Linked DNA regions of Canis lupus familiaris. Each later gene encodes a partner of the first gene's protein in a complex. Links are inferred from orthologs where the notes say so. Each region holds a gene or a part of one and is shown in the gene's direction. Other genes may lie near its edges. The genes, in order: SMARCD2, SMARCC2, SMARCA2, ARID2, DPF3, SMARCC1 and PBRM1.

Region 1 (4,185 bases):
TACTGAATCATAATCTGCATTTTAAACCAAAGCCCCAGATGTTTCTTTCTTTTTTTTTTTTTTTTTTTTAAGATTTTATTTATTCATGAGAGAGAGAAAGAGACAGAGACACAGGCAGAGGGAGAAGCAGGCTCCATGCAGGGAGCCCGAATGGGACTCGATCCCAGAACTCCAGGATCATGCCCTGGGCTGAAGGCAGCGCTAAACCACTGAGCCACCCGGGCTGCCCAAAAGCCCCAGATGTTTCTTGTGCTTATTAAAGTTTAAGAAGCACTGGCCTGTATCAGGGGGAGGAAACCCCAGATGACCAGCATGTAGGCTAACACAGCTGAAGGGCTTTATTTTGAATACCTTATGACACAGGATAGTGGTTTCTGAAAAGGTATTGAATTTTTTTTCCAATTAAGTACTATAAATCCTGGAGAAAGACCTTATTTAACTGCAGGGAGTTTTCTCACAAGGCAAAATTCCTCCCCCTAGAAACATTTCCTGTGGAGTAAAGTACTAGGCTTCCTTAAAGTGAGGCAGAGCCACGTTAAAAATATGCGATAAGAGCTCGGCGCAGGGCCAAGTCAGCCCGTCACACAGCTGGACTGGGTCTGGGGCAGCTGACGTCCCTTGGCAGCTCTGAGCCAGCAGGATGGGCTATTAAACAAAGTGAAGCTGGTGGCTCTTCTGCCTCAGGAAACAGCTCTAAGCTGAATTTTTACTGCCTAAAACATAGAAAAGCGACTTAAGTCAACTATTTTCAGGGAGTGTAACTGGGAACCTCGGGGGGCGGGCTCCACGGGGCAGAGATCAGCAACTCCCCACGCATTCTCTGTTGAAGCCCTTAGGTGACCTTCAACCTCTGACCCCGCGCCTTGCACAGCGCTTCCTGCGCAGCTTTCCGCCTCCGCCCCTCCGGTCAAGGGCGGGCCTGAGGCGTGGGGGCGTGGCTGGGGGGGGCGGCTGGCGGTTAGGGGCGGTGCTTGCTGGGGGCGGGTCTCGCGAGGGGCGGGATTTGAGCGGCACCGTGGCATTGGACTGCAGGTTCTAGGCGGGGCCTAGCGCCGGGCTTGTTTGGGCGGGGCTGGGAGTTAGTTGCCGCCTCCGGGTAACTGGACTCCGGCGGCCAAACCTCCGGAGGCCGCGAGCGTCAGGCGGGCGTGCAGCAGATCCCGGATCCGGAATTGCCCGGGCAGGACCGGAATCAGGATCGGCCCTGCCCCAAACCGGGTCTGCGAGGAGGAACTTGAGAACTTGGATTGGGAAATCCCGGAACCCGGATCAACAAGCCCCAGAACCCGGAATTTAGATCGGGAAGTCCCGGAGCACGGATCGCGGAGCGGACTCGACACGGAGCCCGGAGCCCGGATCGCGACACCGCCGGACGGGACGGAGCGATGTCGGGCCGTGGCGCGGGCGGGTTCCCGCTGCCTCCGCTGAGTCCTGGTGGCGGCGCCGTTGCCGCGGCCCTGGGAGCGCCGCCTCCGCCCGCGGGACCCGGCATGCTGCCGGGACCGGCGCTCAGGGGGCCAGGGCCGGCTGGCGGCGTGGGGGGCCCCGGGGCCGCCGCCTTCCGCCCCATGGGCCCCGCGGGCCCCGCGGCGCAGTACCAGGTGAGCAGCGCGGCCGGGCGGGCGGGTGGCGCCGCGAGGTCGCCCGGGGCGATGGGGCGATGGGGGCTGGAGTCGGGGCCGCGGGGCAGCCCCCGGGCGGGGCACGGGGGCCCGGCGTGCGGAGTGCGCGGGACGGGGTGCAGGGCAAGGCCGGGCGGCGGGGCAGCTCGGGGAGAGGGTCAGAGCGAGCCTGGGCTGGAGGGTTGGGGGCGGTTGGGAGGGTCTGGAGGTTTTCTTGGAACGGGGATTCTGAGTGAGAGGTGGAGGAACCGGAGCCCGGGAGCTGTGGGCGAGCGGACCGAGAAGTCTAGTGTAGGTCCTAGGGAAGGGGGCTCGGGGAAGTGCTGGGAAAGTTTTGCAAAAGGGCCCTCACGGAGAAACCAGGGTTACCCTGCCTTGGCCTTGGTCCCACTCCAAGTCTGCGCTGGGCTTTTTTTTTTTTTTTTTTTTCTTCTAGTTGGGAACTGGCAGAGTTCTAGCGTGTCTGAGATGGCTCCCAGCTGCTGATGGGGAGGAAGAAGGGCCTGGCTCCCCGCGGCCCGGGAGGTGGAGAACGGAGCAAGGGGACCCCAGCCTGTGCCGGGCAGGGTCTGCTCCAGGTCAGGCCCAGGAGCCCTCCCGTGGGGTGGCTCCGGGTTCGACCAGAGCTGGTGGTGGCCAGGCCTGAGGCAGGCGGAAAGCCCAGCCCGTTCTGGGCCGACTCTCCTTTTGGCTTTCTGCCTGGTGTCCTAGTGTCCAGGAGTTGGTTAGTGTGCAGGAGCAGAGAGGCTCCACTGAGCCCTGCTGGTCTGGGGCTGGAGGAGCCTGTCTGTGAGAGTTGCTTCAAAGAGTTCTGTCCTGACCCCTTTGGAGTTTGGCTTCCAAGAGAGCGCGTCTCAGGTTGCAGCTTCAAAGGCCGAGGAGAGGTAGAGACTCCATCCTTAGGGCCTGACCCTGCTGGTGGGGCTCATCAGTACCCCCCTCTCCAGTCCATTGTTTCTGGTTGCCCCAGAATGCTTGGGAATTGTGCCCATCCTTTTTTGCACTCTCTCTGCACTCTTATTTAGCCTTTAGGTTCTAGCAATGTCATATCCCAACCAACCCGTGTGCCCCAGCGTTTGGCACTGGCTTCTTTGCTAATCTCCCAAGGAAGCTGGGGTTGACTCTCTGGTCTCCAGGTAGAGGCTCCACAAATGGATCCTCATAGGATAGGATATGCTTATCTCCCTCGCCGCCCCCCTCAGAGCCCTGGGCCCTTACTTTCTAAAGAGACGCCTAACTGGGGACCCTGATTTTTCCCACTTACTCTTCATCCCCCCTCCTCTCTGTAAAGAAAACAAAATATCTGGGTACTGACAGAGATAATGCCAGTGACTCCCATCTTTCCCATCTTGCTTTCCCACTTGGGGATTCATGGGTCCAAGCTGATGCTGAGGGGTCTCGACATGAGTCATTACAGCCCCTGGGCCGGCTAGCTGAGCACAGGCCTTGGAGTCTCTCTGGGCCTTTGGTCTAAGAAGAGATAGGAGCCTCTCCAGTTGCCTTTGTTCAAAAGCTGTGAGCAGTGTGGCCTGGGGAAAGCCCTTGGATAATGGGTTCCACAGCCCTATGTAGGGAGTGGCCTTGGGCCAGTGGCAAGGTCCAGCTGACTGGCTGGGGAGCCCCAGGCTGCTAGGGTTGGGGACCAAAGGGTAGGCACTGAGCTTCTGCTTCTGCAAGCTTCCTGTCCCACCAGCTTTTCATAACCTCTTCCTCCTCCTCCAGGAAGGGACAGTAGAGGATCCAAGGGGAGAGGGAAGACCCAGTTCACCCTGGCTAAGTTCGAGTAAGATTCTGCTTGGCCTCTTTCTAAGTCCAGTTGTGTGACTTCCAGGAGATGGGACTTCAGAGGAGCAAAGGGGGTCCTGTCTGTTAGGGTACATGAAGTGAGCTAGAAGAGCAAGGCTTTCCAGGCCAAGTGGGGTAAGTTAGGGAACCTATGGAAAGAGGGGAAGTGATGACCCACCTCCCTCCACACAGTGGATCTAGCTGTGGATCATACTCGACAGAAGAGCTTAAGGAAAACAAGAAATGGGGCAGTTTGGGTGGCTCAGTGGTTTAGTGCCGCCTTCAGCCCAGTGCCTGATCCTGGGGACCCAAGATCGAGTCCCATGTCGGGCTCCCGGCAAGGAGCCTGCTTCTCCCTCTGCCTGTGTCTCTGCCTCTCATGAATAAATAAATAAAATCTTAAAAAAAAAAAAAAAAAAAAAAAGAAAGACAAAACAAAACCCAAAGAAACCCAGATTGTTGGGTTCACTCCAGAGTTCAAAATATTTTCTGCTTATGGAGGGGTATGTTCCCTTCTCTTAGGCCTGGGCCACCAGGGGCGCCAGGGCCACAGGCTTTGAGGCAGGGTGCTGCGTGCTCTCTGGAGGTGCAGCATTAGGCCCAGCCACGTGCCCTGCTGTCCTGGGCAGTGGAGGTAGAGTCACACTTAGGACATGGGCTGCTGCCGGGCAAGGGAGAGGACATTGTCACACACTTCCTAGCTTGAGCTTTACTGCAGGCAGGGACTTACAGAGCCTTGAGTGGCCTGACTGGGATTTGTTTTGGGGTGTTTTGTTTT
Region 2 (3,500 bases), on another chromosome or scaffold:
GATATAACTCTCACATACTACTTTCCTATCTCAATTTTGTAGATCAAATGTTTCCTAGATTTCAAAGCAGGAGGCTCCCTGTGCCACATACTTGCAGCTGCCTACAAATTCAAGAGTGACCAGGGATGGTGAGATGCCTACTTCTCTATGCTTCTTACATTAGAGGGGACTCCCCCTTTATGATTCCCTGGGTCTTTCTGGAGGTGGGAGAGCATAGGTAGACATCCTTGCAAGTCTCTTGCTTTGCTAGGTCAGTAACCTTGACTTGCTAGGTCAGAAGAGTGGCTGAGTGTCAGAGCCAAAATAGTTTCCAAGAGTGAGTGAGCATGTATGTATATGTGCATCAGTGTGTGTATTGTAGAGGAAAGGGGATTCTTAGGTTGGCATCTCAAGCTTTTCTTCGTCCTTTCAGACTAAGTACAAAGTGATTCATGGAGTTGAGATTAGTGAACCCAAGATCCCAGGCCATTTTGGCAACAGTTGCGGGCAAGACTGCTTCCTGATTTCCCATGTTAAAAAGTCACATACCCTAACCTCATCTTCAGACCTGATCTATACCACTCACTAGATTATTGCCTCTTCTCAAGGCGGCGTTACGATTTCCAGAATCCATCACGCATGGACCGCAACGTGGAAATGTTCATGACCATTGAGAAGTCCTTGGTGCAGGTAATAGTCAAGAACCTCTGCGGTCCGTCTCCTTTCCCTCAGTGAAAATCCAAAATATGCTTTCCCCATGATCCTATCCCATCTATTTCTTCTCCCCACAGAATAACTGCCTGTCTCGACCTAACATTTTTCTCTGCCCGGAAATTGAACCCAAACTGCTAGGGAAATTAAAGGACATTATCAAGAGACACCAGGTGAGTGGGTGTGTGAGAAGTTTTGGAAACTCCATGCTTCTTTTCCTGATGTTTTCTGTACAATAAGCAATCTTTAGATGACATGTTTTGTACTGCAGAGGCTGCTCTGCCTACTTGGAAAAAGATTAAAGCCTTGAGCCTCTCTTTCTCAGTTCACTTTTCCCATTTCCCGGTCTTGACAGGTTTGGATTACTATTCCTAGAGACTGCATTGGCCTGAGGGTGAGGAAAGCCAGAGATTTCCTGATTTCAGAGAAATGAAACCTTTACTCTAGAACTCTGTAATAACAAGCAGATGCCATTGCTAGGGACATATAGTCAGCTTTACATTTCCCATGTGCAGATTATCTTTTCAGAGGATTTTTAGAGCAACTTTTAGTTCTTTAATTTTTCTTCATTATTAGCAGTATCCCAGCTATTTCCCTCTGCCTCTCAGCTAGTATGTGCTTAAAAAATGCAAATTGGGGGATCCCTGGGTGGCGCAGCGGTTTGGTGCCTGCCTTTGGCCCAGGGCACGATCCTGGAGATCCGGGATCGAATCCCACATTGGGCTCCCGGTGCATGGAGCCTGCTTCTCCCTCTGCCTGTGTCTCTGTGCCTCTCTCTCTCTGTGACTATCATAAATAAATAAAAATAAAAAAAATAAAGATTTAAAAAAAAAAAAATGCAAATTGGGGGCAGCCCCGGTGGCGCAGCGGTTTAACGCCGCCTGCAGCCCGGGGTGTGATCCTGGAGACCCAGGATCGAGTCCCACATTGGGCTCCCTGCATGGAGCCTGCTTCTCCCTCTGCCTGTGTCTCTGCCTCTCTCTTCTCTCTCTATGAATAAATAAATAAATAAATCTTAAAAAAAAAAAATGCAAATTGGGATCCCTGGGTGGCGCAGCGGTTTGGCGCCTGCCTTTGGCCCAGGGCGCGATCCTGGAGACCCGGGATCGAATCCCACGTCGGGCTCCCAGTGCATGGAGCCTGCTTCTCCCTCTGCCTATGTCTCTGCCTCTCTCTCTCTCTCTCTGTGTGTGTGAGTATCATAAATAAATAAAATTAAAAAAAAAAGAATGCAAATTAACTTAAATACCATTCTGAGCAAAATATGATTAGGAAGGCCAGTCTGTGGCTAAATCTTATTTTGGCTTATTTACACCTGTGAGTAATTCAGAGGGAACTGTGTTTACCTGCTTTTCCTTGTGCCATCCAGGGAACAGTCACTGAGGATAAGAACAATGCCTCCCATGTTGTGTATCCTGTCCCAGGGAACCTGGAAGAAGGTAAGAGACCTGAGTTTTCCTGGCCTCTGCAGTGGATGGCTTGGACTAGGACCGGGGGACTATTCAGCCCCCGCACACTGCCTGGGCTTCTCCTCTCTCCTTTGAACCCTGAGCCCTCCCACTGCCATATGTTTCTATTTCCAGGTCCCTGGCTGCAACATGAGTTGTGAACAGTTAGTTACCTTTTGTGTATCCCTTTAGCTTATATCTCTCCTTGTTCTGTCTCTATCCCCAGAGGAATGGGTACGACCGGTCATGAAGCGGGATAAGCAGGTTCTTCTGCACTGGGGCTACTACCCTGACAGGTGAGGATAGGGTCCTGGGGCAGGTTTGAGTACAGAAACCAGACCGAGAAGCCCTAGAACGTCTAGCAAAGCAAGCAGGCACTCTTTGGGGGTTATTTTTAGGTCTGTTTTGTTGGGGGTTGTTTTGTTTTGTTTTGTTTTGTTTTGTTTTGTTTGTTCTCCTCCTCTCCATCATGAGAATCTGTCTTGGGAGAGGTTTAGACTTATAGATGAGGATTAAGCTAAAAGGATGGGGGCTTTATGTGTGAAATGATTATTCCAGTGTTATCTGCGATAAGTAAATGTTAGAAACAATCTAAATGTCTTTAACAGTGGGAAAATGTTTTAGCAATTTATGTATCTATTCAGTGGATTAGTATGGAGCCATACTAATAGAAATACATACAATAGAAATAACATGGAAAAAAAGAAATGACTGGATAATTTATAGAAAATGTTAAATGCAAGTTGTGAAATAACATAGTAACATTGGAATTATGTAAAAACAAAATTGTAGGGGCACCTGGGTGGCTCAGTGGTTGAGCATGTGCCTTTGGTTCAGGTCATGATCCCGGGGTCCCGGGATCGAGTGCCACATCGGGCTCCCTGCAAGGAGTCTGCTTCTGTCTCCGCCTCTCTCTCTCTGTCTCTCATTAATAAATTAAAAAATTGTACAGGAAAAATTTACTGGAAAAAATATATATACCAAATAGTTGTGTTGGGCTGATTCTTTTTTTTCTTTCTTTCTTTCTTTCTTTCTTTCTTTTTTTTTTTTTTGGAATTGTTTTTTATTCATAATGGAAAAAAACCCGATGTTAATAGGAAAAACAATCATACCAAAAAATAACCCAACAACCCAATGCTTTTTATAAATGGAAAAGGTAAAAGATTTGTACTTTACTATTCTACAATTCCATCCCATTGATCCCATTTCACGCTCAATTTCCCATGGCAGTTATGACACGTGGATCCCAGCCAGTGAAATTGAAGCATCTGTGGAAGATGCTCCAACTCCTGAGAAACCTAGGAAGGTGAGCATTTCTTGCCCCCTGACCCCAAAACGTATTCCAGGGGGTACCTGGCTGGC
Region 3 (4,295 bases), on another chromosome or scaffold:
TAGGATTTTACTCTAGGGGGAAAATCCTCCACTAGAGAGTCACGGTGCACTTTGAATGACTAATTGAAGCCATTACATTACAAAATAAAGGATACATCATTCTTTTCATAACACTACCATATAGGAACAGTTTTAATTTTAAGAGTCAAGCACTTACATTAATCTGAGTCTGAAATAATAGGCCCCTGATTTAAAATCTCCTAACATTCTTTCACACTTCATAAAACTAAAAATAAAATTCGTCTCAGCAAACACTGACCTATTCCGCCAGCCAAAGAACTGTATTTCAAGGAGAATTGGAACAAGAGGTCTCCAAACTGCCAAGTGCCAGCAGTTTACTGTTTGTAGCCTTAATCGGTCTGCAACGTGAGGTGGGAGAGGACAGACTGTGGGCTGCCCAGGATAAGAGATTTAGTCCCTTTCTTAAATCAAAAGCAGATTCCACGCTTCAGCTGTCCCCTCACCCGCTCGCCCCGCCCCCACGGGGTTGTTTTTCCCTATCTATGTCTTCCTTGTATGCATTTTATTCGAAGATGACAGGTGAGGGAAGCTTCACGTGCCGCATCTGGTCCGCAAAGTAAACAGAGGGGTTAGGGTGGGCTTATTTATTTACAAGGCATTCAGCCTCTCAGCTGTTTTTCCCTCGTTGGCATTTGGAAGCTTGCCGTCCTTTAGAAAAGAGACAGATTTGGCAGGAATGTTCTTTGTGCCCGCCTCCCTTTTTTACGGGGGAGAAAGGGGACAGATTTATAATTACAACCTTGGGTGGGGGGGGGAGGTAACGGGGAGGGGGGTGGCGTAGAAAAAGTTTCAGCCGGCACGACAATGCCTGCTTTTTTTTTTTTTTTTTTTTTCTCTTCTTCTTCTTTTTCTTTCACGGTCCACACTGTGCAGTGCACTAACAGCTCCGGTGCCACTCGGAGCCCTCCCCCGGTCCCCTCCCCTCTTCCCTCTGCAGGCGCGCTCCGGCAGGCGGAGGCACAGTTAAATTCCAGCACCTTCTCCACCTACCCCCAAACTACTACGCGCTATTACTACGGCCGCCCTCCCCACCCCCCACCGCGCGTCGGGGTGGCGGGGCGGGGGTGGGGGGCGCCCGGCGACGTCCCTTCCAAAGCTCCCCCCTCCCGCCCCGAGGTCGACCGCCGGGAGAGGGATGTCGGACGCCCAAGTCCTGCGGGGCTCGCGGCGAGCTCTGCGTCCTGCGCAGTTTCTCCGCTCCAGGCACCAGCACGGCCCGGGAGCCGGCGCCGCGCAGACACACACACACACACACACACACACACACACACACACACGGATCCACGCATACAGTAGAGCCGTCTCGGTGCACATTCTTGCACACCGCCCCCTCCTCCGCCCCCCCCGCCCCGAGCTCCCGGAGTCGCTGAGCGGGCCGAGTGACAGGCGCGTCCCGCCAACCCGCGCCCGGGCGGGCAGGGAGGAGCGGCGCGCGGGGCCAACTGCGGCGCGTCTTCCGGCGCCCGTGGAGGCGGCGAGGGTGGGACGCGGGGCGGAGCCCGACTTTAGGAAGAGGAGGGGATGGCTGTCATCAATGAAGTCATATTCATAATCTAGTCCTCTCTCCCTCTGTTTCTGTACTCTGGGTGACTCAGAGAGGGAAGAGATTCAGCCAGCATACTCCTCGCGAGCAAGGTAAATATAACTTACAACTCCTTTCTCCTCTCCCCCCCCCCCCCCGCCCATCCCTCCCTCCCTCCGGCCTCCGGGGCTGCAGCCGCCGCGCAAACCCCTCCGGCACCGCGCCGCCTTCGCCGGGGAGTCTTCATTATTATCCTAATTATTATTTATTGTGCATGCACGGAGACCAAAACAAACAGGCGGGCCAACCGCCGCCACCGCCACCACCACCACCACAACAAAAAAGCCCGCCTCCTCCCCGCGGGCCTCAGGTGGAATGCTCTAACGACAGCTCCCGGGCGGCCGTGGAAGAAACGGGAAAGTTTCAACCGAACCTTGCTGTTCTAATAATAACAGTAATAATTACTACTTCGGGGAGGCGAGGGGCGGGTGGGGGGGATCCCGACACAGCACAGCCTTGACCCCAGGTAGGCAGTCAGCGATGCGCTCGCTGCCAACTCAAGGTTGCAACACACACACACACACACACACACACACACACACTCCGCAAGGTTGCAATCCCCCCCCCCCCATCCCCTCGAGGCTGGGGTAGGGCGCCGGCTGGAGGACCCGGGAGGAGGATGGAAAGGCGACAGTTCACCCCGAGCCGTCCTCCCCGGAAGAGTTGGAAGGGGCGCGGGAGAGGAGGGCGAGGAGCCCGGGCTGGCGGCGGGGCGCCAACGATCGCGGCTGCCACCCGCCTCCCGGGGACTTGTTTAAAGGGCTCCGGTTGCCGAGACGCGAGCCGATCGCGGCGGGAGGAGCCGAGGCTGGCGCGCCCGGGAGGCGGCAGCCACCGCCGCGGGGCCGGTGCGTGCAGGATCGGAGGTGTCACCTCCACTTTGCGCGTTCCCTCGGGCGGGGAGGAGGACGCTGACCGGTAGGCAGGCCCTTTTTAGGCAGAGGGGTTCCCGGGGCGCTGCGCCCGGGGCTCTGCGGACGTGCCCGCCTCTGGTACCTGGTACCTGGCGGCCGCGCGGGCTCGGCTGTTGAAGTTCGGGGTGTCCGGCCCGGGCCGCGCCGCCGGCGGGGAGGGAGGAGGCCCCAGGGAAGGAGGTCGGAGGTGCCCGCCGGGCTCGGTTGCGCTGCCCTCCCCCTTCCCCGGGTTTGTTTTCGTTGGCTCGGCGTCTTTCCCCCCAGCCTGAGCCGCGGGAACCTCGGGCGTGGGTCGCCCGCGATCGTCGGGGTGCTAGGGGCTCGCCGGGGCCCGGGAGAGCCACGGCGGCCGCGGGCCGGGAGGCCATGATCCGGATAATCCTCTCTGCCTGACTGTCACAAACAGGACCCGCGCGCACCCGGCCAGCAGTGGTGGCGTTCGCCGGAGAAGGGGAAGGGCTGCGAGGGGGTGGGGGGTGGGGGGTGGGGGGAGGAGGAGGGCGGGGGTGGGGAGGGCGGGAGGCGGGGAGACCGGGTGGGAGCCTCCTCCCCACGATGACACGCACCCCTTCCTTCTCGCTCCCTGCTTTCGAGTTTGCTTTATTCCCATCCCAACCTGATTTACCCCTTCCTCTGCTCTCCCCCTCCATCCGGCCGTCTTCCCTCCTCCCGTTTGCGTTGCAAAACAGGGCCATGCCATCTGCAAAGGTGTCGCGATGCACTTCCCCAAATAACCGGTCCGGCGTGCCCGTCCCCAGGCGCCCTCCGGCTGCGGGCGCACCCCGAGCCCGGTGCTCCGGGTGCCCCGCACCAGGCCTCGCAGCCTGGGCGCAGTTGCAGCGCGCGGGGCGGGGCGCAGCAGTGCGGGCTCCCGGGGACACCCGTGCCCTGGCCCCGGCGCCCGGCCGGTTTCCGGTACACGCGGGGAAATCGCCTCCTGCCAGCGTCTTCGCGCGCGCCCCTGCCTCCGCCGCCTGGATTGCATTATTATTTTTATCCGGGTTGCAGCTTTGCGGCGGATCCTGGTGAGCGCAGGGCAGGCCGGCCTGCTGGGGGTGGGGGCTGGGGTGGGGAGGGAGGGAAGTTGGACGTGGATCAGGCAGGAAAAAAAAAAAAAAAAAAAAAGTTTGGCAGGGCGGCTAAGTAGGGAGGGGGTGGGAGGGGGCGGCGAGCTCCCGCGGCTCGCGCCTCCGCGCCCTCGGGGCCGGCCGAGTGTGTCTGCGCGTGAGTGTGCGTGTGTGCTGCGCGCGGGGCCGGGCCGGTGCCCCCGTCGCGGGTAGGGGCGCGGGCGGCCGCGGGGAGCCCGGGGAGCGCCAGGCGAGGTTCGGCGGCGGGGGCGGGCGGGGGTGGCGTGCGCGTGTGCCTGCGAGTGTGAGTGTGAGTGTGCGCGCGCGAGCGGCAGAGAATCAGGAAGTCACAGCGGCGAAGCGCACACAGACATGTTTGATCGCCGTGACATGACGCGCGCGAGGGAGGAAGCGGCGGCGGCGGCGGCGGCGGCGGCGGCGGCGGCGGGGGCCGGGCCGCGGGCTCGGGCGCGGGCCTAGGGCTCGGGCCGGGAGCCCCCTCGGGCCGTGCGGCCGCCGCAGGCTCAGCGAGCCCCGCGCCTCTTTTTGTTCCGCGTCCCCCAGGTAAGGAGCCTGCGCCGGCGCCGCCCGCCGAGCGCGGAGCTTGCCAGCGCTCTCCCTGCCGGCCCCCGCCGGGCTCCCGGCTCGCCTTTCCTGCAAAGTCAGGCCGGCGGGGGCAGCGGGCTCCTCGCCCTGCGATCGATCGCGTGG
Region 4 (4,219 bases), on another chromosome or scaffold:
AAACGTTAATTATCGTCCAAGTTCAGAAGGTTGGCTCCCGAGCCGGTTTAATTACTGTTTTTGCATAACTCAGCATAAAATAATCTAGTTTGATAGGTGAAAGCGACCAGAGAGGCAAGACGACGTGGGCATCCGTGTATTTCCAGGAGAACTAGGACACACACACACACACACACACACACACACACACACACAGTTCCCATCGTATTTGATTTCCAGTTCGCTCAAGTTAGTTTGTGGATAATTCATGGAAAATGTGCTAATCAGGCCCCAAAATACTAGCACAAGGCTCGGAAACGCCGATTCCCTTAGACCCTCAAAAAAAAAAAAAAAAAAAAAAGGACTTTATTCGGATCCGTGAAGGATGCGTAGCGGCAGGAGCTGCCCCTCGGAGCTTCCCTTGCCCGCCGAGCGCCAGGCCGGTGCTGGGTGCTGCGGGGCCGGCGGGGACCCCGGGGCGGCCCTGGCAACAGCCGGGCCGGGGACGCGAACATCGCCTCCACCCCTAACCCTGGAACAACCGGTAGTGGCCGTTTCCCCGCGCCGCCCCCCTTTCCGCCGGCTTTGTGTGCGTGTGAAATGTGCGGCACATTGCAGATGAACCCTAAGCCCGGCGAGCCGAGTCTATTGTTCCCCGCGAGGAGCTGCCGGGGCGGTGTGGAGCCGGGCGCAGTGCCGCGGCCGGCCCTCGGGGGTCGCTGTGCGGCGCTGGCTGCCCGGCCGTGGCGGCGGCGGCGGCGGCGGCGGCGGCGGCGCTGGCGGCGGCGGCAGAGAGCGAGGCTGGCGGGGAAGGAAGCGGGCGGGCGGCGCGCAGCGGCTCGGCCGCCGCCGGTGCTTTCTGCCCGGGGACGCCCCGGCCGCCGCGGCCCAGGCCGCGCGTGAATGTGTGCGAGGGCCCCGCGGAGCCGCGGCCGGAATACACGCTGTCACCCCTCTCTCCACAAACCACCACACAGACCTCCCCCTCCCCACCCCCAGCCCCGCCTGCCCCAGCCCCGCCGCCGCCGCCGCCGCCGCCGCCGAAACTCCGGGCCTCCGGCCGCTCACCGTCGGCTCGCCCGGCCCCTCGCCCGCCCGCGCGCCCCCGGCAGCAGCCCCATGTTGAATCGCGTCCGCAGGCCGAGCCGCCTGGGCCGGCGGCGCTGAGAGGCGGGCGAGAGCCGGGCCGCGGGGAGGGAGGGAGGGAGGGAGGGAAGGAAGGGGTGGGGGCCGCGCTCGCCCCGCGGCTTCGCGCCGATCCGGCAGTCGCCTGCCCCTCTAGTTTCGCTCCGATTTCTTTAAACTTTTTTAGAAATTCCCCTCCCTCCTTCCCTCCTCTCCCCCCGGCCTCCGGCTCCCTCCTTCCCCTCCTCCTCCTCCTCCTCCCCCTCCCTCCCTCCCTCCCTGCGCCGCCGCCGCCGCCGCCGCCGCCGCCGCCGCCGCCGCCGCCGCCACCGCCGGCCCATGACTGAGCCCCGCCGCCGCCGCCGGCCGAGGAATGGGCTCCGGGCTCTGGTAGGACGCGCGGGGAGCGGGGGCCGCTTTTAAGACGCCGATCCGGGTTTTTTTTGAAACCTCCTTTGCAAAAATAATGGCAAACTCGACGGGGAAGGCGCCTCCGGACGAGCGGAGAAAGGGACTCGCTTTCCTGGACGAGCTGCGGCAGTTCCACCACAGCAGAGGGTGAGCGCAGAGCCGGGGGGGCAGCGCCGGGGCGAGCCGGGGCGAACGGGGCTCTCCCGCCCGGGCCGGGCGCGGGGTCCCGGCTGACAAGTGCGGGGCTTTCTCTCTCTCTCTCGCTCTCTCTCGCTCTCCTCTCGCTCTCCTCTCCTCTCTCTCTCTCTCTCTCTCTCTCGTCTCCTCTCCCGCAGGTCGCCTTTTAAAAAAATCCCTGCGGTGGGTGGGAAGGAGCTGGATCTTCACGGTCTCTACACCAGAGTCACTACTTTAGGCGGATTCGCGAAGGTGAGTGGAAGTTTTAATTCGTATTTCCCTCTCGCTGGCCTGCTCCGAAAAGTCTCCTTTGACCCCGGAGTGGGCGCTCGGGGCCCGGGGCGGGGGGGGCCCGGTGGCCCGCGGGGGCAAAAGGCGTTCTCGGCGCTCGCAGCCGGTGGCACGGAGGCGGCCGGGCGGCGGGGCTGTTTTTTTGGCCTGGTGGCTCGCGTGCGCGCGGCGGGGCGGCGGGGCTCGGGCGGGCGGGCGGCCCGGCGCCGGCTCGCGCCCTGCCCGCCGCCCGCCCGCCCGCCCGCCCGGCCGGCCGGCCCGGCGGGGTCCGAGCGCCGCGGCGGGGAGCGCGGGCGTGCAGGGGGCGCCCGCCCGAGCCCCGCCGCCCGGCCGAGCCCCGCCGCCCCGCGCCCGCCCGCCCGCCCGCCCGCCCGCGCGCCCGCCCGCCCGCTCGCTCGCGAGTCGGCTCCGCCGCGGCTGCCGCTCTAGCACAGGCGGAGACACAGAGACACACAGACTCTGAGAGCAGTTTTCGTGCAACTCAAAATTAGCGCGGGCAGGTTTCACATCGATAATCGGCCGCCAAATGATCCCGGCGGCCGGGGGCACAGCCTCGGCCCCGTCGCCCTCGGTTTATACGGCTAACAAAAGAAACCAGGACCTGTCTCCAAATAGCCATCTTAGGCTTCAAGGCTAGGCAGAAGCTGTAGGCCTCAAAGAAGGGCCTATGGAGATGGAGAGATGTGGGAGAGGGATCGGGAGCGGCCCCGGGCCCGGCCCCCCCCCCGGAACCCGCCGACGTCGCTGTCCGGAACAGTATTGATCCTTTTGAACTTTTTTTTTTTTTTTTTTTTAGTGTAAACGGACCGCGTTGAGATTTAAAAGGGGGCGACAGAGGGACTTGCGATTGGTTATTGTCCGGGCTTCAAAAACAAAACAAACCCACCAGTCTCCCCCACACACCCCCTCCCGGGCCCCCCGCCGCCGCCGCCCCCCCCCCCCCCAAACAAAACAAGTGCTATTAAATACAGGGCTCTCGGGTGAAAACACAGTGATTCGAGCCCCCCCCCCCCCCACACACACACTCCCTTGCTTAGTTCTCCTCACGGATCGATCCCAAACACCCACTGATGCCCGAGGTGGTGTATCCTCAGATCTCTGTAGAATGGGTATTTATTTCACGGTTAGGCTGCAGTCTCCCTGGACGGTGCACTCTCAGACAAGTGTGGCTGTGTTTTTAACAGGTTTCTGAGAAGAATCAGTGGGGAGAAATTGTTGAAGAGTTCAACTTTCCCAGAAGTTGTTCTAACGCTGCCTTTGCTTTAAAACAGTATTACTTGCGGTGAGTAGTAGTGACTCTTGCACAGTATTTGGAACTGAGGGACTCAAGGGGAGATTTGTGGGTGTTTTTTTTGTTGTTGTTGTTGTTGTTGTTTGTTTGTTTGTTTTTTGGTGGTGGTGGTAGGGATAAGCCCCCCACTCCCCCCAAACAAACCTTGCACACCAGTTTCTAAACTTGTCTTCATCTTTTCAGTCCGACAAACATCAAATATCCATAAAGTGAGGTTGTATAGGAAGGTGAAAGTTTTCCTCGCCTATTTTAGGACTGTTTACATTTTTCATACGGGATCATTACAGGTGACACCCCACCTCCCATCTTGGTAAACGTTCTTTTGTGACATTGTTATTGATTGGTTGATATCCACGGAGGGGCAGAGAGGTGATGCTTAGTAAAAGAGTTAAGATAGTTAATGAAACTTTGTATCCCCTGGGAAAATTTTTGCTTGGCTTCGGAAACTCCTTTGCCTTTTAAAATCCTCACTTTAAGATTCTCAAACAAAACAAAAATGATACCTCTTGCATGGAACCGTGTAACAGAGTAGTTTTTCAGTAGAATATTTACACACAGCATAGCATGTTTGGTGCCTTAGGTGACCAGGATTCTTTTTAGAATAAGTTCTTTGGGATTTTTGAGTGACTTAAAAACGTTCAGAAGGATTATTATATATGTAGGAAGATTAAGGATACTATGAAATGGAATACTATGATTTGGATTTTCTTTCATTCTCTCCCTCCTTTTTTGACAGTCTTTGACAAAGTAAGTTTCTTAGTTGATGTGTGGTACGCTTTAGATATTGTATTTTCTGATTAAGCTTTATTTTTTCCTTTTTCTGCTAAGAATATTTTCATATTGTAACCTATTATGAGGTCATCTTTTATTTTTAATGCTTGCTTACTCATAGAGGGTCTTTAGGTGGTGGTGGTGATTTAAAACTCAGAGGGTGCTCTTCGTATT
Region 5 (4,273 bases), on another chromosome or scaffold:
GATTTCAAGTCTTATAAACAAACATACCCATTCAGTCTTATTCTGTTTTTCTGTAACTCTAATAGTGTATGGAATTGCGCTCTGAAAGTTCTGGAACATTATTGTTATTATTATTATTGTTAATTTTAATTCATTGCCTTGAGAGGAGCCCTGAGAAAGGAAGTGAGAGTGCAGAGCTCTGAAGAACTGGTGGCAATTTGGCATCTTCTCTCCCCCTTTCCACCCCTCCTCCGCTATTTTAGCTATTTGACCTGATTAAACAACTTTGGGATGTTAGCCAGATTTCTGTATGCTAACGAGGCCCCTATTCATGATTTAGTGCGATTTCATCCACCGGGAGATTCCCCGCTGCCCCGTGGAAGCCTGGCTTCACCGAAGTCTCCCAATTTCGTCGGGGGTTCGCCAGTGAGGAGTTCACGCTGACTTGGAGCAGACACAGACTCTGAACGCCTCGGGTCCTACCGGATTATTCAGTGGCAAATTTTTCCACCGTGTACCTAAGTAGTGAAAGGTGACGCCAGAATCGCGTGTGCTACTCCCCGAAAGAGACTCTGGCAACACCTTCTGTCTAGTTACTCTCTTTCCTAGTAGCAGAAAGCGTTTCCAAAAAGTTTCCTTAAACCTCCTCTGTCCCCAAGCCTAAAGGTCAGAGCGCCAGGTCCCACTTGGCTCCCCGGCCGGCCGGAATCTGACCATTTCAGAAGTTTCTGGTGTGTGTGTAGATTGGAAGAGGTCGGAGTGGGGAACCGCGCACAGCGACCACCGCGCATTACGTAACGAAAGCCCTGGCTGCCGGAGGGAGCGAGCCTGACATTGAGACATTCCAGGGGGAGGGGAGTTGCTGTCCTGGAGTCGCCGGGAACGGCGGCAGCAGTTCCAAGAAACCGAGAGAGAGAGAGAGAGAGAGAGAGAGAGAGAGAGAGAGAGAGAGAAGGTGGCCGAGATAAAGAAAACACTACAGGAATGAGAATGTTAAAAAGCCTTGGACCTAGAGCATTAGCAAACTGCTGGGCACGTGTAGTAATTTGTTAGACGAAACGGCAGCCTTCCAACTTTTGCACGGGAACGAGGGGATTTGCCCTTTGGGGGATTAAAAACGTAACAGCAAAGCCAAAAGCTAATGAATGGGGTTCAGTGGTTTGTTGGCAATACTTAAATATTTCTGTCCAGGAGCGCAAACTCTCTGCAATTATTTAGAAAGTAGGGACTCAAACCAAACTAGAATACTTTCCCCGTGCGTCTCCACTTTCCCAAATCCGAAAAGGAGCTGCTCTCGCGGTACTGCCCCTTTAAGACCTGCTTGCTCTCGGGCTCTACAAAAGGGAGTGACCTCTGGGCTTTGACAGCTCCCCTAATAACTACCACCGTGCAGGCCCCGCCCATCTGGCGACCAGCAGCGCCCATTGGCCAGCGGGCCGGTATCCCGTGCTCTGATTGGCTCGCCGCTTCCCCTGAGCGAACCTTTAGAACTCTGAGACAGACAATATTCTGTTACATTGTAGCAAAATGGCGACTGTCATTCACAACCCCCTGAAAGCGTAAGTAAGACTAAAAAATGTACATATTCCGCCTGGTTTCAATATGAAAAAAAAGGCGCCTTCCGCGTGCCAAGCGCTGCCAATGCACTGCGCTTGCAGGCGCCTGCAGCCGCGGCGGGGCTTCTCTTTTCTTTCAGCTCTTACTTCTTCATCTTCTTTTTTTTTTTACCCCCAACGCGCAGAAATGTCAAGAGATGCAATTAACAAGAAGAAAATTGTTACGTTTGTGTTCTGCTTAATTGGAAGACGCACGGAGAGGGGTTTTCGGCAGGGGAGCCAGGCGCTCGAGCGCTCTACGGGGGGGGGGGGGGGGGGGAGGCGGGCGGTCGTGGGCAGCTCGGGGACTGCACGGTCCCCCGAGTGCCCGGCGTCGCGGGATGGCGAGCGCGGCGCGGGGGGCGGCCGAGCTGGGGGCGAGCGCCGGGCAGGGGCCGCCTGGGTGCACTTGGCTGCGCCCCGCGCCTCCGGAGTCCGCAGCCCCTGCCCGGCTGCTGGGTCCGCCGGGGCGAGCGGACCGTGGCAGCTCCGGAGTTTGCAGGGCGCTTTACGCCTTCCGATCGCTCGCGGGGAGTTTGTGCAAACCTTCCGGAGTTGGGAGGACCGCAGGGGGAGCAGTGGGTCCCGGGAGCCCTGGGGCCCAGGTGATTGCCCGGGGGCTTTCCTGCCGGGGCAGCCCCCCGAGCGTGACCGCGCTCCGGGCGGTCGCCGGTGTGTCTGCGTGTGTTCGCGGGCGAACTGGGTGTAGTGTATTAACGACTCGGGTTAACTTGGGGTTGATTGGGAGGCAGGGAGGCTGCAGGTCTTATGAATGGTGTTCTTGCCTCCTCTGGGTGAAAAACCGAGGCGGGCGGAGAGGCAGCTTCTGCTCCCGGCCAGAGCGAGGGGCAGGTGCCTCTGGCCGCCGCCGGGAGACTTTGAGCGGACGCCCAGATCCCGGACGCAGGGGGGCGGGCTGGGCGAGGACATGCGGGGACCAGTCCCCGGGTCCGACTGCCAATTCCTGCCTGCCTGCCTTCCTGCTCCTTTTCGTCCTGGCTTCCTTCCTTCCTTCCTTCCAGTCGATGGAAATGTTAAGCCGCCAAGTCCGATCGCGATCGCGGAGCCGCTGGAGGCTTCGGAAAACTAGCGTCGCCCTACAAGGGGTGCTATTGGCAATGATATTGGCAGAGGAGAGCTCGCTCCCCCATCGCCGCGCGACGTGGGTCGGGACTCCCGGTCGCCGCGCGGCGTGGCTCGGGGTCCGCGCCTCTGGGACCAGGACTTCCCAGCCGGGGTGGGAGCCGCGGGCGAGGGGAGGGGGAGATGCAGGTGGGGGGCGTTTCGTGCAAAATTCTCCTGGCTGTGTGGCCGATGCCCGTGCGGGTTATTTCAACTCAGCGCACCGCGCTGGCACCCCAGGCTCCTCCTGGAGTTGAAAACCACGTTCGCACCGGGGGAGGGAGGGAGGCTGCGGGGGGTGTGGGGGTGTTTCCTAGCGCAAAGGAACGCGCGAGGGTAATCGGACGTGTTTGCACCAGCTTATCTCCCATCATTAATAGGGGAAAAGGTAGTAAGGTCCCCGGTTCGGAGTTTTTTTTTTTTTTTTTAATATACATGTATTAAAGCTGCGATTAAAGCTGCGATTAAGAGGAAGCTGGAAGCTGACGCCGATCACAGAACAGCCCCCGGCTTTAGTTCTCGCTCGCAAGCTCGGATACACTGCACTGGAACGCCACAACGTTTCAGCCAAGAAAGAAAATGTTTTACAGCAGAATAAATGGGCGTAACTTCGCCGCATCCTCGCTCCCCGGTCGCTCGCGCAGCCACACCGCTGATGCTGTGAGTTTCAGCCGAACCTCCAGCTGATTTGCAGTTTCCCCATTTCCAGCCGAAATCACATAGGCAGGCTGATGCCACCTGGTAAACTCAAGTTAGAGAAATCTATTTCACATGTGCGCCAGATTTGTTTCCTACTGGGAAAGCGGTACCAGCGTTACCTTGGAGCCCGCTCACGCGCCGGCAGGCGCAATATCTCTAAACGCTCCAGGGTTTGTTTCCCTGCCGGCTCCGGTTTTTTGTTTGTTTGTTTGTTTTTGAACTGCGGAAGGGTGCGTGTTTGGCGAGGGTGTCTGAGTGGGGTGGGGTTAGAGGTGGAGGAGGGAACAGAGAAGGGGGCTGGTTTAGTGGAATTAGTCCTGAATTATTAAACTTATACTTTGTAATAATTAGAGACAGTTGCAATGACATGTTTTGTAATTCTGTGTCGACACACACACACACACACACACACACACACACACACATACACACGCGCGCGCGCGCACGCGCTAGCATACACACAACATCCCTGCCTGCCTTTTCTAGACGGGAGTTGAGTGGTCATTTTTTAATTAGCTCCTCCTTTTTGCATCCCAAACCCTTTCCCTGGAGGAAAGGGGGTGTAAACAATACCCACCCCCTCTCCCGGACGAGCCGAACCTCCTGCGCTCCGGACGGCTTTTAAACTCCTAATGCAGGAGCACACACGTTGTTATTGGGAGACCCACACCATCTGCCTTTATTTTTTGAAAACAACTTATTTAGCAAGACATCTTCTACATTTCATTTGTTTTTAAAAGTTGCTGATCAGGAAACAATACACACGTAAATAAATTATGCATGGGATAAATTAGAACAAAGCGCAGAGACACATCCAGCTAAAGGGATGGATGGTGGTGTAGGGAGGAGGGGAGCCGCGAGAATGGTTTGGAGAGCTA
Region 6 (3,500 bases), on another chromosome or scaffold:
TGCGTGTCATATTCTTTCTCCTTCCTGCTGCATAGTTGTTCTCTGCCTTGCTCTCTCACCCATTCTTAGGCTGCCTGTGGGGTGCTGCCCCTCACCCGTCAGCTCCCACTTCTGTCTACTCAGGCTGCCCTCATGTAGCCCCTGCTTCTCTTCAGAAGCTCTCTGCCTCTGCTCTAGGCTCCAGCTCCTCTGCATCTCTTTTTCAAGCTCTCCATCACACAGGCCATCAGTCCCACATTCCTTCCTTCTCTAGAACCTTTCACCAAGCCCCCAACCTCATTCTGCGTGTCGGGCTCATCCAGCCCTACTGCTGTAGGCACACTGTGGATTATGTGGCTTTTACTTGAGCATGCTTTTTTGAACCTTTTTGAGCTTCTTGCTCCTCAGGAAATGCAGGTGACAGATAACCAGGTGATGCAGGTACCTACCTCTGAGAGTGGTGAGTATGAAGATGCCACAAGAAGTGGTAGCTCTGAGGAATAACGGGAGTGACACTTGTATTATTTTCTGATTTCTTAACTCAGGTGGGGCCTTGTGCTTAGGATAGTCTGCTGCTGTCGTGTCTCTAACCCCCTTCTTCACTCTGATGCACATCATCTAAAATCCTAAGTCGTCTACAAGCTTATCTCAATTGACTGGAAGGTTTCAGGTTTTTGGCTTGCTCCTCCTGTGGTTTTCCCTTGATGTGCCTGCCATGCTGTACATCTGTGGGAGGAATGATGTATAACATACTTGATAGATAGTTGTTCCTTTAATCCCCTTGTCATTCCCTAGGTTGATAGACTTCACTACTGCCTGTATGTGTCCTAGCACTGTGGCACAGGCACCCAACAGCTTCTGGCTTTGGTGGTCAGTTGGTGTAAGAGTGGGTGGCTGTGTTAGCCCAGCAGTGAGTCCAGTACTTGCTCTTGCATTCTCTGAAGCAGTTTGACCAAGCTGTCCTCTAGTGGATGGATCTTGGGGACTCCTCTGCTGGGTTCTCCCATGATTGCATTATAGAGCACAGAAAGGTGGGCCTGAGGTCCCCAGACTTGCTGTCCTATTTATTCTGAGGTAAAATGTTGATATATTTTGCTTTATAAAAATTGCCCCTGAAAGGCAGTAGACCACCTCTTCCCCAAACTTTTGAACTTGTGGAGTTCTTTTTCACTAAAACCCCCCAGTAGTGAAGGGCCTGGGTCAGGAAACAGACACGGGCAATAGATGGTGTGAGGCTTGAAACTTTATGTGTCTCCCTTAAGACAGGCCTTTTTCTAACAATGACAGAGAATTCCCCTTAAGTTGTCTCCAGTACTTCTTTATATGTTGTAATTGACTGGTAACTATCAGTCCCATCTCCCAAATTTTCCAAGATTGGACCTAAAGCATTCTTTCTTCCAGCTGTCTCAGAACTATGTCTAGAAACATATTTAGTTTCATACAACTGACCTTTACAGAGATACTGAAATCCCTAGATTAAAAAAATAATAACGAAACACCATAGATTCTTTCCTTATTCTGTAGAGAGTATAATTTGCTGAGGGTGGAGAAGAGAGAGAGAAAAAGGAAGCACATGCATACGTTTCAGCCTAGATCTGTACCCATTAAAATATTCTCCTTTGGATGTAGTTCTTGAAAACCAAGCCCAGCAGCCAAACCACTGAGTTTTAAGAACTAAGAAATATTCATATCTGAAGTAGGATTGGCAAACTACAACCTGTGGGCCAACTTTGGCCCATCTCCTGTTTTTGTATGGACTGTAGGCTAAGAATGGTTTTTACAATTTAAATGGTTGGGGGAAACTCAAAAGAAGAATGCTTATATCTCATGAGGATTATGCAAAATTCACATTTATAGAGTCCATAAATAAAGATTTATTGGGGGATGCCTGGATGGCTCAGTGGTTGAGCATCTGCCTTCAGCTCAGGGCATGGTCTCAGAGTTCTGGGATCAAGTCCCACATATGGCTTCCCTCAAGGAGCCTGCTTCTCCCTTTGCCTGTGTCTCTGCCTCTCTCTCTGTGTATTTCATGAATAAATAAATAAATAAAATCTCAGGACACCTGGGTGGCTCAGTGGTTGGGCGTCTGCCTTCGGCTTAGGGCATGATCCCAGGATCCAGGATCAAGTCCCACATCAGGCTCCCTGCATGGATCCTGCTTCTCCCCATGCCTGTGTCTCTCATAAATGGATAAATCTATCTATTTATCTGTCTATCATCTTTATAAATAAATAAATAATCAATCTTATATAAATAAAAATTAAGATTTATTGGGACACAGTCTCACATATTTGTTATCTGTGACACCTGTATGTCATCTGTGACTGCCTTCATGCTACAGTGACAAAGTTGAATAGCTGTGACAGAGACCATATGTTCTGCAAGGTCCAAATATTTACTGTCTGGCTCTACAGAGAAAGTTTGCTAAAAATCCTAAAGGCTCAGTGTGAAACTGTAGTCGGGAGGTATTTTACTGTTCTTGTGTCTAGTCTCTCCTCTCATTAATCTCAAACCAACAGGAAGAGATGAAGGGGTTGTCCATTTTTCTTGCTCTGCCCCCTACCCCCCACCAGCCACCATCTCTGTGCTTCTCCAGGGCCAGTGCTTCATGGTGGGGGTTAGGAGAGACTTTTATTTCAACAGGACTTGGAAATCCGATTAGGATTCCTTTATAATGTTGATTTCACAGTTGTGACCAATACCCTTTCTTGCCTACTACACCCCCACCCACCCACCCCCGTGTGAAGCTCAGACTTAACTTAGCTGCTATCATCAGAGTGCACACTAACTTGCTGTAAAGATCCTCTCCATCCCCTGTGGTCAGTGCTTGGCATTTTGTGTCCTCAGGAAGATGTATAACAATCCACTATCCACCCAAAGTAACCAAAACAAATGTTTTCTTTTAGGGTGCTCTTGTAGTTGCTTCTTACAGCTACCTGCCTATACCAGGGTTTAGGGTATTCTTTGACTCCATAGACTGCCCCATTATCCTTCTTCCTCCAAAAAAAAAATGAAAATCTGGACATAGAGATTATTACAGATTATGGCTCTGTTGGTATTTCAAATCCTTCAGAGGGTTAGGTATTTGTATTTAGCAGTCTTGAGCATTGAATTGATCTCTTTCTTCCTAGTACACTTACCATAATACTTTAAATCTCCTTCCACAGGTCAGATGCCAGGTCCAGGTTCCATGATCCCTGGGCAACCCATTCCAGGCCGCATGATTCCCACTGTTGCAGCCAACATCCACCCCCCTGGGAGTGGCCCAGCCGCTCCTGGTATGCCTCCAATGCCAGGAAACATCTTAGGACCCCGGGTACCACTCACGGCACCTAATGGCATGTGTAAGTAGCATGGTGGGGGGAAACATTATCCTTGTATCTCTCTGGGTGGGCTGGAGACAAGAGATGGGGCTTTGTTCTCTAGATTTATAGTTTGGCAGGTCCATGGACAGTGCAGCCTGTGACAGTAGGTTCTAGAAGATCGGTTTGTGATTAGGGCTCTGCAGCACCCCTGAAGAG
Region 7 (3,995 bases), on another chromosome or scaffold:
GAACACTTACCTTTTTTTGGATTTTATACCTTTTATGGCAGGTCATGCGTTTACTTGCTTTCTTTAACTCTACAAAGAAACCCAGCACGAGAGGATTAGACACAAAGGATCCGTTTAGTTTTTAGTGACCGGGCTCAGGGGTCACGTCCCTTTCCCTGCTTAGCAATTAACGCTCAAACCTAAAACTCACATGTGGTGGATTACAAACACAGGCCATTCTAAAATCTCAAAGAATCTGGAGCAGAGCCCAACTTCCCTGCTCTCGCTCTTTCCGTAACAGACTGAAACCGCACAGCAGAGCAGGAGACCCCCAGATGGCAGCCCCTTCTCGTCATAGGCCGCAAATCACAAGTTAGGACCGAGCAGCGGATTTCAGCGGCCCGCCTCAGACCTCTCAACATGGCCGAGTAGGGAAGAGGCTGGGCCCGCAACCTTGGCTCGGACGGACACGGTTTACTCAGGACCATCTGGCGTGATTTTAATTTCTTAAAACATATCTGACAGAGAGAGAACACGAGCAGGGGGAGGGGCAGGCTCCCCGCTCCGCAGGGCGCCCACGCTCGATCCCGGGAAGCCGGGGCCGTGACCTACGCCGAAGGCAGACACCTGACCCACTGAGCCACCCAGGCGCCCCAGCGACCTTCACTGCTGTCTTCCTTTCGCACAACAGGCCGGCGGCTAACGACGGCCTTCCCCCACTCGCTTCTCCTCCCGACCCGCGCCGCGGCCTGCCCGCAGGCTCCCCCGCTCCCTCAGAAGACCGCCCCGACGGTTCGCCGACCGTCAGAGGCAGGCCCCTCTACACCCGCTCCCCGGCCGTACTCACTCGGTCGCTTCATACTGGGAGCGGGAACGGCGGTCGCAGCGGCGTAACCGGCGGCAGCAGCAGCAACAACGCGCCTCCGCCCCGGCCACGTGTGACTCGCAGGCAGCCAAGCCCGAGCGTCACGCACCGACGCTACCGCCGTAAAGCGCGCCGCCGCCCGCTCGCGCGCGCGCGCACGCAGTGTCGTGCGGAGCCGGGTTCGCTTGGCGGCCGCAGGGCTGGTTTTGCGGCGGCACCGGGAGGGGTGAGGGCGGTGAGGGCGGCGGGTGCTGGAGCGACGGCGGCGGCCGCAGCCGGAGGAGCAATAGCAGCAGCCGTGGCGGCCACGGGGCGGGGCGCGGCGGTCGGCGACCGCGGCCGGGGCTGCAGGCGGCGGAGCGGCTGGGTAAGGCCGGGCCCGGGGCGGGCGGGGCCGCTCCCTCTCGGCCGGCTGCCGGGCCTTTGTGTGGGCCCGGGCGGGCGGGAGCAGCGGCGGAGGCCCCGCCCCGGCGTGGGGACGCGCCGGTCGGGCTGGGCGCGCGGGGCGGGGCGCGGCGGCGGGCGTCGGGACGGCCAGGCAGCCTCGCCGCACCTGCCCTGCCGGCCGGACAAAGGCGCGCCGCGGCCCGGAAGCTCCCGCTCGCTCTTTCCCGCCCCGGCGGCCGGCAGAGCCCTCGTCGCCGACAGCCTCAAAGCTGTCAACGTTTCCCTAGTCCCGGTACCAGTGACAGGTCCGGAAAGTCTTTCATTTCTTCACAGGTCAGGGCCTCCTTTTTTTGTTGTTGTTGTTTCTTGACGCAAACTCAACTAGTGTGAAAAAAATTTTTTTTTTTTTTTTACCTTCTCTAGATGACTGTGTTCAGACTGAGTGTGTATTTGAGTGAGACTTGTATTTATACTAGAGGCTAGATACTGAAGTGTCTTCTCTGCAGCAGCACGGAAAATCGAGGTTTTAAAATTGTACGTTTCCTGGTTTTTAATAATTTTCCACCTCTTAAAATTTTCTACCGAAAGCGTAGTTTTATTGTGATAGGGAAGATATTGGCGATTTAAATAAAGATTGGTAAAATGTGGAAGAAATACTGAAAAAAAAAAAAAACAAGTGGGAAATAGCACAGTATAGCAGGTATAGAAATTACCATTGTGGTTATAGAAGCATATGTTGGAATATAAGACATTCTTATTAATTTATATTTTAAAAAATTTAGGGCTCCTCAAAAATGGTTTTTGAGGTGATGTTTTTCCATTAAGAGTAGTATGGTTTTGCTTTATTCCTTGTTAACAGATTGCTTGTATTTTAAGATTCAAAGGAAGGAAAGTGTTTTTGAAGAAGCAGTTCCAATTTCAAACAGTAACAAATGTGCGTGTGGATAAATGGAAGGGCGTTGATTGCCTTCTTTGGCTTTGGGTGTACAAAATACCTCAGATTTTGATATTTTACCCCAAACTCCAAGCTCAGTAAATTGTGGTATGTCTATACGATGGGCTGTTAACAAGCCATCAAACATCCTGTGGAAGAGTGTTCACTTTTGGAAGAACCCAGAGTTTAAAACAAGTTGCAAAACAATATATATGGTTTAACACTGCGGTTTAAAAAAAAAAAAAGGCAACTAAGGCATAGAAAAAATACAGAAAGCCGTGAATGCCAATGTTAAGGGTGTTTTGTTTTTTTTTTTTCTAGAATTATGTGGGGTTTTTTCCCCCCTTTGAATTCTGTTTTCCAAGGTTCTTGTTCTGTGCATGTATTATAGTATTGAGTATCAGAAATACAGGAGAGAACTTTTAGTACTATCAAAATATACCGTGTGGCTAAAATGAGTATTTTCCCAGTTGCACATTTTAAGGTTATTCCTTAGCGTCCAATGCAAGTTACTGGTTGTCAGACTTTTGCACATGTAGCTGTAATCAGTGCCATTTTAAAATTTATATTTGGGCTCCAGAATGTATTTCCTCTTCATGGGGAGAAAATTGCTGAAGGATTGCCCACAGTCCTTTTAAACCACACAAGCTTTTTTTAATGTCCCACTTTTAATACCTTTATTTAAAAAGATAAATTGATTGTTCATACTATACCAGATACTATTCTATAAGCCAGAGCTACAAAAATGAATAAAATGTTATTAACTGGTCCCAAGGAGCATTTAATCCTAGAGTTGAAAGTTCTCTGTTGTGCTTTGAAGTTTCAAAGTGATTTCGTGTACGTATCACAGTCCCAGTGCTCTAAGGCAGATATATGCACACCTGACTTCTCATTTTAGAAGTGGAGAAACAGCTCTGAGAGGTTGTGACTCAAGCAACATGAAACAGATAACTCGAAGCGGAGTACTTGGGACTCAGAATCCGGTCTTCTGAGCTTAAGTCCTGTTGCCTCTCCCACCTACCTGGCAATACTGACTTTATTGCCAAACTTCCAAAATACATTTAAAAATGTGTCCTTTGGATAAGAAAATAATTGAAAATTACCCTTAAGTTGCCTCTTTTTCTTGCTTTATCACAGAAAGTTAATGATTTAAGGAGTTTTGTATATTATGGTCTAAACTAGAATACACACGCACCAACAATTTACAATTTGTTGTCATATGCTTTTCAGTGGGTTATTTATGAAGGTAGTAATTTTGATCACCTGCCAAAATGATCAAAGGCTTTGTTTTTAATCTTTCTAAACCTGTGAGTGTTGTCTTTCTAATGCTGGTAGGACTTTTGGAAAGAAATGTCTTTCTCTGAATTTTTTGTAGGGGGGAGGAGGTTTCCAGACTGTTCACATGAACCATTCTTGGTTTGTTCCAGCTTGCCAACATTTGGTGTCACATGTGAGCCTTCCACATGTGTTCACTCTCCATTCCAGCTCTGTGATTGAACTCTGCTCTTATTGACTAGGGGGCATTTGGGCAGGCATGCTTCATTCCTGGAATTGACAGTCATTCCATGTGAGTAAAGGAATCTCAGTGAGACATCTTTAAGCATATGAAAAGCATTTGTTTTAAAATTAAAAGAAATGTCGGGTACTGTTAGTGCCTGAGCCTTTGCAGCAGTGTGGCACGAGAGAACTGATATGGCTATTTTCTCCAGTTCTCTTATCTTTCTTTAGCAGTTCTACTTGAATGTTTTCTATCTATTCGTAGTCATTTTTACTCCTTCTGACCTTTCTTTTTTATTTCCCCTTTCTCTGCCTGTTCTTCTCTTTCAGTTT

The links.
Region 2: SMARCD2 (region 1) and SMARCC2 share a complex: the UniProt entries of both Homo sapiens proteins name them as parts of the BAF complex. The link is inferred for Canis lupus familiaris from reciprocal best matches to the Homo sapiens genes SMARCD2 and SMARCC2.
Region 3: SMARCD2 (region 1) and SMARCA2 share a complex: the UniProt entries of both Homo sapiens proteins name them as parts of the BAF complex. The link is inferred for Canis lupus familiaris from reciprocal best matches to the Homo sapiens genes SMARCD2 and SMARCA2.
Region 4: SMARCD2 (region 1) and ARID2 share a complex: the UniProt entries of both Homo sapiens proteins name them as parts of the SWI/SNF-B (PBAF) chromatin remodeling complex. The link is inferred for Canis lupus familiaris from reciprocal best matches to the Homo sapiens genes SMARCD2 and ARID2.
Region 5: SMARCD2 (region 1) and DPF3 share a complex: the UniProt entries of both Homo sapiens proteins name them as parts of the BAF complex. The link is inferred for Canis lupus familiaris from reciprocal best matches to the Homo sapiens genes SMARCD2 and DPF3.
Region 6: SMARCD2 (region 1) and SMARCC1 share a complex: the UniProt entries of both Homo sapiens proteins name them as parts of the BAF complex. The link is inferred for Canis lupus familiaris from reciprocal best matches to the Homo sapiens genes SMARCD2 and SMARCC1.
Region 7: SMARCD2 (region 1) and PBRM1 share a complex: the UniProt entries of both Homo sapiens proteins name them as parts of the SWI/SNF-B (PBAF) chromatin remodeling complex. The link is inferred for Canis lupus familiaris from reciprocal best matches to the Homo sapiens genes SMARCD2 and PBRM1.

Annotation. Positions count from the first base shown.
Region 1 is NC_049230.1:15,127,825-15,132,009, forward strand, and holds the start of SMARCD2 (SWI/SNF-related matrix-associated actin-dependent regulator of chromatin subfamily D member 2), read left to right. Parts: upstream 1-1,385; coding exon 1,386-1,601; intron 1,602-4,058; exon of another isoform or gene 4,059-4,185. UniProt on the Homo sapiens protein: Involved in transcriptional activation and repression of select genes by chromatin remodeling (alteration of DNA-nucleosome topology).
Region 2 is NC_049231.1:850,229-853,728, reverse strand, and holds part of SMARCC2 (SWI/SNF complex subunit SMARCC2), read left to right. Parts: intron 1-42; coding exon 43-128; intron 129-587; coding exon 588-669; intron 670-770; coding exon 771-863; intron 864-2,059; coding exon 2,060-2,129; intron 2,130-2,364; coding exon 2,365-2,434; intron 2,435-3,368; coding exon 3,369-3,444; intron 3,445-3,500. UniProt on the Homo sapiens protein: Involved in transcriptional activation and repression of select genes by chromatin remodeling (alteration of DNA-nucleosome topology).
Region 3 is NC_049222.1:91,388,988-91,393,282, forward strand, and holds the start of SMARCA2 (probable global transcription activator SNF2L2), read left to right. Parts: upstream 1-1,495; 5' UTR 1,496-1,656; intron 1,657-2,385; exon of another isoform or gene 2,386-2,521; intron 2,522-3,409; exon of another isoform or gene 3,410-3,542; intron 3,543-4,127; exon of another isoform or gene 4,128-4,148; intron 4,149-4,295. UniProt on the Homo sapiens protein: ATPase involved in transcriptional activation and repression of select genes by chromatin remodeling (alteration of DNA-nucleosome topology).
Region 4 is NC_049248.1:37,970,519-37,974,737, forward strand, and holds the start of ARID2 (AT-rich interactive domain-containing protein 2), read left to right. Parts: upstream 1-1,419; 5' UTR 1,420-1,570; coding exon 1,571-1,662; intron 1,663-1,850; coding exon 1,851-1,944; intron 1,945-3,167; coding exon 3,168-3,265; intron 3,266-4,219. UniProt on the Homo sapiens protein: Involved in transcriptional activation and repression of select genes by chromatin remodeling (alteration of DNA-nucleosome topology). Required for the stability of the SWI/SNF chromatin remodeling complex SWI/SNF-B (PBAF).
Region 5 is NC_049229.1:46,575,316-46,579,588, reverse strand, and holds the start of DPF3 (zinc finger protein DPF3), read left to right. Parts: upstream 1-1,473; 5' UTR 1,474-1,506; coding exon 1,507-1,538; intron 1,539-4,273. UniProt on the Homo sapiens protein: Belongs to the neuron-specific chromatin remodeling complex (nBAF complex).
Region 6 is NC_049241.1:41,736,012-41,739,511, forward strand, and holds part of SMARCC1 (SWI/SNF complex subunit SMARCC1), read left to right. Parts: intron 1-3,146; coding exon 3,147-3,323; intron 3,324-3,500. UniProt on the Homo sapiens protein: Involved in transcriptional activation and repression of select genes by chromatin remodeling (alteration of DNA-nucleosome topology).
Region 7 is NC_049241.1:37,509,819-37,513,813, forward strand, and holds the start of PBRM1 (protein polybromo-1), read left to right. Parts: upstream 1-1,195; 5' UTR 1,196-1,211; intron 1,212-1,380; exon of another isoform or gene 1,381-1,564; intron 1,565-1,748; exon of another isoform or gene 1,749-1,765; intron 1,766-3,584; exon of another isoform or gene 3,585-3,732; intron 3,733-3,992; 5' UTR 3,993-3,995. Other genes in the region: GNL3 (guanine nucleotide-binding protein-like 3), read right to left, coding at 11-69, 827-839. UniProt on the Homo sapiens protein: Involved in transcriptional activation and repression of select genes by chromatin remodeling (alteration of DNA-nucleosome topology). Required for the stability of the SWI/SNF chromatin remodeling complex SWI/SNF-B (PBAF).